3 linked regions of the Oryctolagus cuniculus genome follow. The protein of the gene in region 1 interacts with the protein of each later gene in a pairwise test. Links are inferred from orthologs where the notes say so. Each region holds a gene or a part of one and is shown on either strand. Other genes may lie near its edges.

Region 1 (3,529 bases):
TAAACCAAGTTAGGTGAAGCAGTTAGAAAAGAAAGGGACAGATGTGGATGATTAATGTGTTTAGTATCTTTTATTTGTATGCTGAAACATTCTTTAAATAGTTTTCCTCAAGTCCTCCCCTTCAAAAAGAAATATTTTACCAAGGTAGAAACTCGTATTTTAAAAATTGTTTCTTTGTAGGTGCTCCAAATACTGCAGAATTAAGGATTTGTCGTGTAAACAAGAACTGCGGAAGTGTAAGAGGAGGAGATGAAATATTTCTACTTTGTGACAAAGTTCAAAAAGGTACTTCATTTTTGTATTTTGGTTCATTAAATTCAGAATGTTTTTAGATTAATAGATGGATTTTATTTTGTTTTCCCTTTGTTATTTCTTTGGTTTCTTATTTACTAGATGACATAGAAGTTCGTTTTGTATTGAATGATTGGGAAGCAAAAGGCATCTTTTCACAAGCTGATGTACACCGTCAAGTAGCCATTGTTTTCAAAACTCCACCATATTGCAAAGCTATCACAGAACCAGTAACGGTAAAAATGCAGCTTCGGAGACCTTCTGACCAGGAAGTTAGTGAATCTATGGATTTTAGATATCTGCCAGATGAAAAAGGTATGACATTTTGGTGGCCCATAATCCTTGGGCCCCTGCACCCACGTGGGAGACCTGGAAGAAGCTCCTGGCTCCTGGCTTTTGGATGGGCCTGGCTCCGGCCATTGCAGCCATTTGGGGAGTATGCCAGCGGATGGAAGACCTTTCTTTCTGCCTCTCCCTCTCTCTGTCTATAACTCTGCCTCTCAAAACAATCTTTAAAACATTTCTTAATTTATTTGAATGAAAGAAAGCTCCCAACTGCTGGTTCACTCTTCAGATGCTCAGAATGGTTGGGGCAGGGCTGGGGTCTAGGCCGAACCAGGAACTCAATCTGGGTCTCCCACATGGGAAGGGACCCAATTATGTGAGCCCCCATTTCTGCCTCCCAGTGTCTGTATTAACAACTAGGAGTCAGGAGCTAGAGCCAGGAAACCGATCAAACCCAGGCACTCCAACGTGGGATGCGAGCATCTTTAACTGCTAGGCTAAACACCTGCCCCCTTTCCATGAACTCTTTGAAACCTCGTGTTATTAATGTATGTTTCTTTTCCTGAAAGTTTTCATTTTTTTTCTATTCCTCTATTTTTAAAAATACTCATTTTATTTGAAAGGCAGAGAGAAAGATCTTCCATCTGCTATTTCACTCTTCAAATGCCTGCAACAACCAGGGCTCAACCAGGCTAATGCCAGAGGCCTGGAGCTCAGTTCTGGTCTCCCACATGGATGGTCCTGAACCCAACTACTTGGGCCATCACCTGCTACCTCCTATGGTGTACATTAGCAGGAACCTGGATTGGAAGTGGAATAGCCAGGACTCAAACCAAACACTCTGATAAGGGATACAGACATCCCAAGCAGCAACTTAACACTTTGCCAAACACCTGCTCTGATTTTTTTTTTCCTTTACATGCTTTACATCTGTTTCTTAGGTTTGATTAATCTGGAATTGTTTGAGTATTTGAGCTGTTTATCAAATTTTCTGTTTTATTTTTGAGGCTCTATTTTTTTCTCTTGTGCATCCTTTTAAAAGAGGGGAAACTTGCCACTCAGACTGGTCTTTGTTTTGGCTCTTTTATCAGAACATTTTTTATTAGTTGATGTTGTTAACTTATAGGTATTAGAAGCAAACAAGATAAATATTTGAAACATTTTTACACGATAAAATATTCTTTCCCACTGGTTTGGGACATTCTTTACACTTTTATACTTACTAAGTCCATACTATGTACATTTATTTAAAGCATTTTCATATTCTTGTTGAAATAAAACGCCTGTTTGTTTATTAATGGAGAGGAAACATAATCATGGTGATTCACCTGCTTTCTTCATTTCTTTTTTAATCAGATACTTACGGCAATAAATCAAAGAAACAAAAAACTACTTTACTTTTCCACAAACTGTGGCAGGATTGCGGTAAGTGTATTTTGTATTGATTCATATTTATGTAGGTTATATATTTTGCTTTTCATTTTTTTCAAATTTTAACTGATAATGTTATTTTTCAAATTATACTTAATAATGGGAAAACTTTATCATAACAGTTAATTTTCCTGAGAGATCAAGACCAGGTTTCCGAGGACCAGGAGAAGGAAGATTCATCAAAAAAGGTATTTTATCCCCAACAGTATATTGCTTGTCATCAGACTAATATTTTATATAAGAATTCCATTTTTAGGAATGAGTAACTGCTTCTTTGTTAAACACTCCTGTAAACTTTTTTAGGCTTTCATTATTGAATGAATTGAGCTCAGTACCTGAAAGTTGCCCTGAAAACAGATTATGTTTTGCAGATTTACTGTCTAAGAAATTGTATTTTATTTATTTGGTGGTATTATTAATTGTAGTGTATCATGGAAGAAATGGTTTAAATCTGGCTGGTCATCTTTTTTATTTTTTATTTTTTTTAAAGATTTTATTTATTATTTGGGAGGTAGAGTTACAGAGAGAGAGAGGGAGAGAGAAAGGTCTTCCATCTGCTGGTTCACTCCCCAGTTGGCTGCAATGGCTGGAGCTGAGCTGGTCCAAAGCCAAGAGCCAGGAGCTTCTTCCAGGATTCCAAAGCAGGTGCCAGGGCCCAAGCAGTTAGTCCATCTTCCACTGCTTTCCATAGCAGAGAGCTGGATCAGAAGAAGAGCAGCTGGAACTAGAACCAGTGCCCATATGGGATGCTAGCCTTGCAGGAGGATGCTTAGGCCACTCACCACAGCATCAGCCCCGATTTTTTTTTTTTTAAGCCAGTGTCATCCATCACCCTTTGTTTGTTTGATATTTACTAATTTATTCATTCATTCATTGAGTTATTTGAAGGAGCCAGAAGCTTCTTCCGGGTCTTCCATGTGGGTGCAGGGGCCCAGGGACTTAAGCCATCTTCTGCTGCTTTCCAAGGCACATTAGCAGGGAGCTGGATCTGAAGTGGAGCAGCTGGGACACCAGCATCCATTTGGGATGCTGGTACTGCAGGTGGTGGCTTTACCCAGTATACAACAGTGCTGGCCCTGTCATCTATTTTTAAAAATTTTGATTGGAACACAGCCACAGTCATTTCATTATATATTGTTTCCAACTAGTCTCTTTTTTACAGTACAGCAACAGAGTTGGAATAATCCTAATAGAGGGTGTATATAGTCCACAAAACTTAAAATACTATGTGGTCCCTTACAGAAAAAAATTTGCCAAGCCCTGGTTTAGAAAATACAACCAAAAATTAATTGGTAGTCTTTTTCCCCCATTACATTATTTTTTTTAAAATTAGCTCACCTATTTTTACTTACTTCAAAAGACAGAGATCTCCTATCCACTTATTTACTCCCCAAATGCCTTCAACAGCTTTGGCTGGGCCAAATCGAAGCCATAATCTAAGCATTTAATCTGGGTTTTCTCAGTGAGTGGTAGGGACCCAACTACTTGAGCAATTATCTGCTACCTCCCAGGGTGCACATTA
Region 2 (4,146 bases), on another chromosome or scaffold:
GGTGGGTGCCAGGCCAGTGCGGGCGGCTCGCCGGCTGGACACCCCGGGGCTCCAGGTGCAGGGCAGACCAGTGCGCGCGGCTCGCCAACTGGACACCCCGGGGCTCCAGGTGCACGGCAGACCAGTGCGGGCGGCTCGCCGGCTGGACACCCCGGGGCTCCAGGTGGGTGCCAGGCCAGTGCGGGCGGCTCGCCGGCTGGGCACCCCGGGGCTCCAGGTGCAGGGCAGACCAGTGCGCGCGGCTGGCCGGCTGGACACCCCGGGGCTCCAGGTGGGTGCCAGGCCAGTGCGGGCGGCTCGCCGGCTGGACACCCCGGGGCTCCAGGTGGGTGCCAGGCCAGTGCGGGCGGCTCGCCAGTTGGACACCCTGGGGCTCCAGGTGCGTGCCAGGCCAGTGCGCGCGGCTCGCCGGCTGGGCACCCCGGGGCTCCAGGTGCACACCAGACCAGTGCGCGCGGCTCGCCAGCTGGACACCCCGGGGCTTCAGGTGCACGGCAGACCAGTGCGGGCGGCTGGCCGGCTGGACACCCCGGGGCTCCAGGTGGGTGCCAGGCCAGTGCGGGCGGCTGGCCGGCTGGACACCCCGGGGCTCCAGGTGGGTGCCAGGCCAGTGCGCGCGGCTCGCCGGCTGGACACCCCGGGGCTCCAGGTGCGAGCCAGGCGGCCGGACAAACACAGGGAAGGAGGCCTGCCGAGGCCTTCTGCCCTGGACCGCGCTCGGACCACAAGGCAGCAGAAGGGACCGAGGGGGGCGGGAGCACTCCAGGGAGCGCGAGTAAACGGAGGCCGCCCGAGGAACGCCGGGCGCCACGCGGGACGCGGAGCGGCACCGAGGGCGGCCGCGGCCGGAGCTGGAGCCGCCGCCCTGCCCCGACCAGGCGACTCCGAAACCAGCCCCAGAAGGGAGGCGGCGGCCGGGCCAGGCGAGAGGCGCCGGCGTGCGCGCGTCTTGGACAGATGCGCCCACAGGCCAGGGACGCGAGGCCGGGGCCGCCGGAGGCCGACCCTAACGTCGAGGCCCACCTTGCGGGTGATGTTGTGCACGTAGGGGCAGGTGTTGCAGGCGAAGCGGTGGCAGCGCTGGCCCTCCTCCACGATCAGCCCGTTCCCGCAGCCGGGGCAGAACAGCAGCATGGCGGCGCCCTGGCCCGCGCGCCCCCACGGCCGGAAGCTCCCTGGCCGCGCGACGCCGACACCCCGCCCACCTCGACCTCACGTTGGTCCCGGCGGCCCCCGCCGCTAGCCCACCAATAGACACGCCGACCCTCGCTCCCAGCCGGCCCTGCGGCAAGCCGCCTCGCACTCCCATTGGTTGGGGCGCCCGCCCCGCCCCTTGGCCCGCCGGTGGTTGGACGTCCTCACGGAGGTGGGCCCAGTCCGCGTCCGTGCTCCGCCTCCCGAGCGTGGAGTGGCTGGGCCGGCGGCCGGCGGCTCCGGGCTGGCGACCGTGGAGGCAGCGGAGCAGGCCGAGGAGGCCGAGGGGCCCGAGGTGCCGGAGGAGGATGAGGACGAAGAGGAGACGCTGCCTCACTCGGAAGCGGTGGACGTGTTCCAGGAGGGTCTCGCCATGGTGGTGCAGGACCCGCTGCTCTGCGACCTGCCGATCCAGGTGCGCGCGGCCAGAGCGGCCACCTGCCGCCGGAGAGGTGCTGATGGGGGACTGCGGCCGGCCTGGTCCGGGCCCGGCGTGAAGGGGCAGGGGAAACGGTGCCAAACTTGATGCAGAAGGTTGTCGGTAAAGGACAGTTGAAGAATGGGAGCTCCGGCTGCTCCGCTCCCTTCCGGCTCCCTGCCAGCGCTCCTCGGGGAGCGGCGGAGGGCGGCCCAGTGCCTGGGGCCCGGTGAGGCTCCCGGCCCCTGGCTTCGGCGTGGCCTAGCCCTGGGTGCTGGGGCCGTTTGCGGATGGAAGACTCGTGTTTCTCTCCCCTCTCCTTCCTCCCCGCCCCGCCCCCGTCAAATAAGTAGATGCAGAGGCGAATTTCCTCTAAGAAAAGTGTTATACTGCAGTCTTATCACTGCCGTGTGTTCCTGCCTTGTGTATTTTGCACACATGCCTCCCACTTAGTCCAGGGCTCTGGCCTGGATCCTGGTGACCAGGGGCTCTTGGGCAAACTGAAAGGCCCAGCGTCTCCCTCCTCCCCCCCCAGCAGCCCCTGGGGGCTCACTCTCCCTGCTTCCACAGCCATTCGGCATGAAATAGAGAAGTCGGGTGGAACCTGAGACTGAGGTGCTAAAGGGAGCCCCTCCCCCGGCCCTCCATAAAGTTTGGTTCCGTTTGGGCTGATAAACAAAGCCAGGGTTCCCACTGCCCCTGCTTGGCGCTTTCTAGGTGACTTTGGAAGAGATCAACTCCCAGATTGCACTAGAATACGGCCAAGCGATGACGGTCCGAGTGTCCAAGATGGACGGAGAAGTCATGCGTGAGTGCCGCTCTCCGCTTCAGATGGTAGCGGGCCTGGCCGTCGGGAAACCCGCAGGCGGAAGCCAGGGCTGTGAATCCCCACCCCACGTCTTCTCCCTGCAGCTGTGGTCGTGGTGCAGAACGCCACGGTCCTGGACCTGAAGAAGGCCATCCAGAGATACGTGCAGCTCAAGCAGGAGCGAGAAGGGGGCATTCAGCACATCAGCTGGTGAGTGGGACAGCAGCCCCGTCACGGCCCGTCACAGGGGCCTGCAGGAAAGCTCCCTCCGCTGCTCTTACACGTCTCTCGTCATGTCACCCAGCTGAGCTGCTGATACCTTCACTTGGGGACACTTAGGACACTAGTGTGTCCAGAAGTGGCCTCCCCAGTGTCGGCTGGAGCACCGTCCATGGCCTACGCTGGTGACAGCTGGAGCACCATCCGTGGCCCTGTCCCTTCCTCAGACACTGCTGGCCTCGCTGTCCTGCTGAGTCGCGTGTCCTCACAGCAGCTCAGCACTGCCGTCTGTCTCCTTCGCGAGGTGTGCGGGGCCCAGCTGCCCCTCTGCCCCTCTGGCAGGCCCCACGGCACTGTCCCCCCGAGCTGCCGCGCTCGGCCTGCTCGGGAGTTTACCTGAGGCCCCCCGTGCAGGTCCTACGTGTGGAGGACGTACCACCTGACCTCTGCGGGAGAGAAGCTCACAGAGGACAGGAAGAAGCTCCGCGAGTAAGTCCAGGGAGGGGTCACGTGGTCTGCTGCCTCCGCGGGGCTCAGGAGATGGCAGGCAGCGGAGCAGAGCATGGGCACTGCTGGTTCTCTCCAGCCGTGGCTCAGGGCTGCACAGCTCGGGGCGACGCGTGCAAGTGAACCGCGGCCGGCTGCTCCTCTCGGGCCTGCGGGCGGGCGCGCACGCCTCACCTGTGGCTCACTCGGGGTCTCCCACACCCCTGCGGTGGGGACTTACACACCCACCTGCAGTCAGACACTGCGCCTTTTGTCCTTTCAGTTACGGGATCCGCAATCGGGACGAGGTTTCCTTCATCAAAAAGCTGAGGCAGAAGTGAGCCTCCAGACAAGACAGCCCTGCACCAGTGGCCAGGCTCCTCCTGGGCTGTGCCCCTTCACAGAACGGCTGTTGACGCAGCCTGGCCGTGCCCAGCACGAGCTGTCAGGACTGAGCAGCACGGGGTGGGGCTGGTTCTCCCCGGGAGCATGACCTGAGCCTGTTTTTACCCGAGGGTAAGCACCCGAGCCACCAGCAGACCCCCCGGGCTGTTTGGCCCCACCCACTGTACAGAATGAACTGTGTGCTGGGGGTCTGGCCCCACCCTCTGTGCAAAATAAACTGTGTGGTCTGGCCTGGCCCCTGTATAGAATGAACTGTGTGCTGTGGGGTCTGGCCTGGCCCCTGTATAGAATGAACTGTGTGCTGTGGGTCTGGCCTGGCCCCTGTATAGAATGAACTGTGTGCTGTGGGGTCTGGCCTGGCCCCTGTATAGAATGAACTGTGTGCTGTGGGGTCTGGCCTGGCCCCTGTATAGAATGAACCTGTGTGCTGTGGGGTCTGGCCTGGCCCCTGTATAGAATGAACTGTGTGCTGTGGGTCTGGCCCCTGTATAGAATGAACTGTGTGCTGTGGGTCTGCCCCCTGTATAGAATGAACTGTGTGCTGTGGGGTCTGGCCTGGCCCCTGTATAGAATGAACTGTGTGCTGTGGGTCTGGCCTGGCCCCTGTATAGAATGA
Region 3 (3,981 bases), on another chromosome or scaffold:
TAATTTCTGGTAAGGTTACTTTGGAAATAAAATTATTTTTAACTGTACAAAAGCCACCTCTCAGATGTCATTTTTTAAACTTACACTTCCAATTACACTGGGCAGTTTGTCTCAACAGAGGTACAAGAAAATATGTACAACTAATGTTGTATGAAAGCAATAATAAATGTTTTACATTCAGCCAAAAGGAATGATTTGATTGGAGTCCAGTTAAATCTGAAATACATCTAGGCATGTTAAAGTGTTTTTCAAGTGTAAGGGTAACGCGATGACACATGAGCAATGGCAAGAGTCTTATGTGGAGACGTTTGAGGGGGGCTGTGCTGGAAACTCCCAGTGAACAAATCCAGCACCCAAGCCGGGCAGTGCCAGGAAGCACGTGTGCCCGGAGAGCCAGCCCTCTCCGCCAGAGCCTCAGGAGTCCACCCCGAGCCTTCCCGGGTACCTGGACAGGAAGTAGGCAGAGCCTCCCCCGCAGCGTGGCTCACCAGGCTCACGCCTCGGAGGAGCGGCGCGTCCGCGCGGAGGTCCAGCAGGGAGACGGCCGCAGGGGCCGCAGCTGCAGCGGGAGCTGGCGACATAGCTGAGCGGGAACTGTTTGGAAGCCGCTCCTGGAACAGAACGAGGGAAAGAAACAGCTCGATCCAGCTGCCGCGTCTGCTGCCTGGCTGGCTGGGTCTCCGACGCCGCAAGGCACACCTCGGCCCTCCCACCTGCTATCGGCTCTGCGGTAAATCCTTGACACCACTCGGCTTTCTCAAACCCCTGGTCTCGGACCACCACCGAGTGAAATGGGGGAGCTCCCAATCCAGTCCAGCACATTTAAAATCACCGCGGTTGCCTAGCCGATCACGCTCCGTTCCTCGTGCTACAAGCCCCGGCAATGACCGACCGCGTAGACGCGTCCCCGCCCTCTGAAGCCATACCAAATGTCCCGGGAGCCCGGCGTACGCACGTCTCCAGTTCGAAAGCCGGATTCCGTAACACCACAACAATACCGTCACTACGGAGCAGCGAAGAGGACAAACCGCGGCGCCCGCACCTGAGCCCCGCCCCACGTAGAGCACCGCATTGGTCCTCTGATTGTCCAAGAACCGCCTCTAGCCTTTAGTCCCGCCCCCGGAGCCGAGAATTGGCCGTCGTGTCTCCACCCCCTATGTTCATTGGCCAGGCCGGCTGCGGGTGACAGTGAGTAGCAGAAGCCGGGCCTAGCGCTCCGGATCAGGCCGAGCTGGGCCGAACAGAGAGAGCCCAGGAATCGCTCGGGTCGCGGTTCCTGAGGTGACACGCGAGACCGGTTATTGAAATTCTAAGGCCCGGGCTGGGCCTGGCCTGGGGGGCCTGAGGAGCCCTAGGTGAGCTCGCGGCGGGTAACGGGGGAAGGGGCGCCGCGGGCGGGGTGGGGGCGCGCAGCCGAAATGTTTTGATAGCGGGCGCGCGCGCTGGGGGGCGCGCGTGGGCGGCGGGGCCGCGCTCGAGGTTGGCCGCTGTTGGGAACCGAGCCCTGGGCCCGGGGCCGGGCCACCCTGGGGCTCGCTGGGCTCGGGTCTCGGCGGCTGGGTGTAGGGAGGCAGCCCAGCCCGGCCAGGGTATCAGCTGTAGGACCGCCTCGATCCCCCCATCATCGGCCGGAACCCCCGAGCCCAGGCCCTGCCTGCCGGGGCTCCATGGGCCCTGGGTCTACACAGACCCAGTGAGTGGTAAGTTTCCTGAAGAGCAGGGCTCTTACTAACCCAGGGACTCCCACCGAGGCCAGGCTGAGCCAGGATCCCCAGTCCCCAGGGCCCACCCTCACTGGGTAAGTACCACCTCGCCCCTGCCCGGCTCCAGGATCCTATGAGCTCACAGATCCACCCAGGATCTGGAGTGTCCACTGAGTCAGGACTTCCTGTCCAGCTCTGCCCGCCTGCTGAGTCTTTGGTGCTGTGGACACAGGGGAATGGGGTGACCAGTGAGGTCCTCTTCAGAAGACTTCCCTGGGGGGTGTGGGCCCCGAGAAGCAGGTCTTGATCGCCAAAGCCAAGGTCAGGCAATGGAGGAGCGGTCCAGGGGGGCTGCTTGGCCTCAGAGCGGTAATGACTCAGTCTCTACAGGGTCAGTGACTTTCTCTCTGGGGTCCTGGAGCTGAATGAGTGGCCCTGTTTAGTATAGCCGGACGAAGTGCCCCTAGCCCTGGGCTGGAAGGGTGCCTCTTCCCCGGCTGCAGGCTTCCTGCCCAGGTTTGGCCTCCTCTTGGTGGTTCTTGGGTGGGGGGAAAGGTTGGGTTCCTTTCTGGCCCCTCTCCCCACCCTCTGGGGCCTGATGCCTTCTCCTCCAGCAGCGGCAGAGCCAGGGCATCGAGGGCTGGAGTGGAGCAGACACTGTCCATGGAGCTGGTAGGGCCATGTGCTTATCTCAAACCTTTGCTTACAGAATGCTTCCAAACTGCTAGTTTCTGGGGAAACCAGGCTTTCAGAAGGGGTAAAGGGAGGGACCCTCCACTGACTAGAAGATGAAACAGCCCCCACCCCACAGCCCTCGCCCCCCTCCCCCTAACACCAGGGGCAAATGCTGAATTCAGATCAGAAAGGCACTGTAGGCACCCAGTGAAGACTCTGGGAATGGCTGGCCAGAGCTAAGGCCTCCAACGCCCTAAACTTACTGTTTGCTTGGGTTTCTTCCCTTCTTCTGCCTCTGAGCCGCTGAGGGTGGTATAGAAACAAAGCGCAAGGAGTCTCTCTTCTTCTGGCCTGGGAGGCAGGGTAGCATGCAGGGGCACCTGGGTCTGAATCAGGGTTTCTTCTTCCTGTCACTGGCAGGTGGACCGGGTGGCCAGGGGGCGGCGGTGATGGCGCAGTTTGACACGGAATACCAGCGCCTAGAGGCCTCCTACAGCGACTCACCCCCTGGGGAGGAGGACCTGCTGGTGCACGTTGCTGAGGGGAGCAAGTGTGAGTCCTGGGGCGCGGCAGCCAGAGCCGGGGCATGGGAGAAAGCTGAGGGAGCACTGGGGGAACGAGGGGCTTGGGTTGCTTCAGGTCCCTGACATCTGTGCTCCTGTGTCCACAGCCCCTTGGCACCACATTGAAAACCTTGACCTCTTCTTCTCTCGAATATCCTTTGTGTCTCTGTGCCGGGGCCCTTTAGCCTCTCCCTAAGTCAGGTCCCTGATGGGAGGCCACAGTGGGTTTCACTCTGATCTCTGGAGGAGGAAATGGAGCTCATCCTGAGGCTGGTGAAATAATGACCGTGAAAAATAATGATGCGGCCGGCACCTCGGCTCACTAGGCTAATCCTCTGCCTGTGGCACCGGCACACCGGGTTCTAGTCCCGGTCGGGGTGCCGGATTCTGTCCCGGTTGCCCCCTTCCAGGCCAGCTCTCTGCTGTGGCCAGGGAGTGCAGTGGAGGATGGCCCAAGTGCTTGGGCCCTGCACCCCATGGGAGACCAGGAGAAGCACCTGGCTCCTGCCTTCGGATCAGCACGATGTGTGCCGGCCACGGCGGCCATTGGAGGGTGAACCAATGGCAAAGGAAGACCTTTCTCTCTGTCTCTCTCTCTCACTGTCCACTCTGCCTGTCAAAAAAAATTAATTAATTAAAATTAAAAAATAATTAAAAATAATGATGCCCCACGTTTACCGAGAGCTACTGCCCGCGTGCACTTTGTGGTGTTCATTTATAAGGGAACTAAGGGTGAGCCTCCTGTTTGATGAGATGTTAATAATCGTGATAATTAATGTCTTTTGACTCATTCAGTGTCTCTTCTGTGTTAGATATTTTACGTGTGTTATTTCAGACCTAATAATCTGATGAGACAGGTGTAATCATTCCTAAGCTACCACTATGGACAAAAGCTTAGAGGTGAAGGAACTTGGGCAGAGCCACACAGCTGGAAAGTCACAGAATGAGGACTTAAGTTCAGCTATGACATCAAACCCTGTGCTCTTAACGCTGCCTTTGCTGGTCGTTTCTTCTTAACAATTGCACGTTTATAATCTACA

What was found.
Region 2: the proteins of REL (region 1) and SNRNP25 interact in binary tests that used the Homo sapiens proteins (3 or more experiments, as listed by UniProt). The two-hybrid records come from large-scale screens. The link is inferred for Oryctolagus cuniculus from reciprocal best matches to the Homo sapiens genes REL and SNRNP25.
Region 3: the proteins of REL (region 1) and ATG9A interact in binary tests that used the Homo sapiens proteins (3 or more experiments, as listed by UniProt). The two-hybrid records come from large-scale screens. The link is inferred for Oryctolagus cuniculus from reciprocal best matches to the Homo sapiens genes REL and ATG9A.

What each region holds. Positions count from the first base shown.
Region 1 is NC_091433.1:141,782,740-141,786,268, reverse strand, and holds part of REL (proto-oncogene c-Rel), read left to right. Parts: intron 1-180; coding exon 181-285; intron 286-393; coding exon 394-606; intron 607-1,932; coding exon 1,933-2,001; intron 2,002-2,129; coding exon 2,130-2,195; intron 2,196-3,529. UniProt on the Homo sapiens protein: Proto-oncogene that may play a role in differentiation and lymphopoiesis.
Region 2 is NC_091450.1:34,568,562-34,572,707, reverse strand, and holds SNRNP25 (U11/U12 small nuclear ribonucleoprotein 25 kDa protein), read left to right. Parts: upstream 1-1,335; 5' UTR 1,336-1,567; coding exon 1,568-1,609; intron 1,610-2,329; coding exon 2,330-2,420; intron 2,421-2,524; coding exon 2,525-2,630; intron 2,631-3,053; coding exon 3,054-3,128; intron 3,129-3,408; coding exon 3,409-3,466; 3' UTR 3,467-3,778; downstream 3,779-4,146. Other genes in the region: POLR3K (DNA-directed RNA polymerase III subunit RPC10), read right to left, coding at 1,024-1,134.
Region 3 is NC_091434.1:20,238,078-20,242,058, forward strand, and holds the start of ATG9A (autophagy-related protein 9A), read left to right. Parts: upstream 1-1,170; 5' UTR 1,171-1,355; intron 1,356-1,436; exon of another isoform or gene 1,437-1,700; intron 1,701-1,737; exon of another isoform or gene 1,738-1,798; intron 1,799-2,317; 5' UTR 2,318-2,375; intron 2,376-2,798; 5' UTR 2,799-2,827; coding exon 2,828-2,930; intron 2,931-3,048; coding exon 3,049-3,092; intron 3,093-3,967; coding exon 3,968-3,981. Other genes in the region: tRNA endonuclease ANKZF1, read right to left, coding at 489-611, 714-822. UniProt on the Homo sapiens protein: Phospholipid scramblase involved in autophagy by mediating autophagosomal membrane expansion. Cycles between the preautophagosomal structure/phagophore assembly site (PAS) and the cytoplasmic vesicle pool and supplies membrane for the growing autophagosome.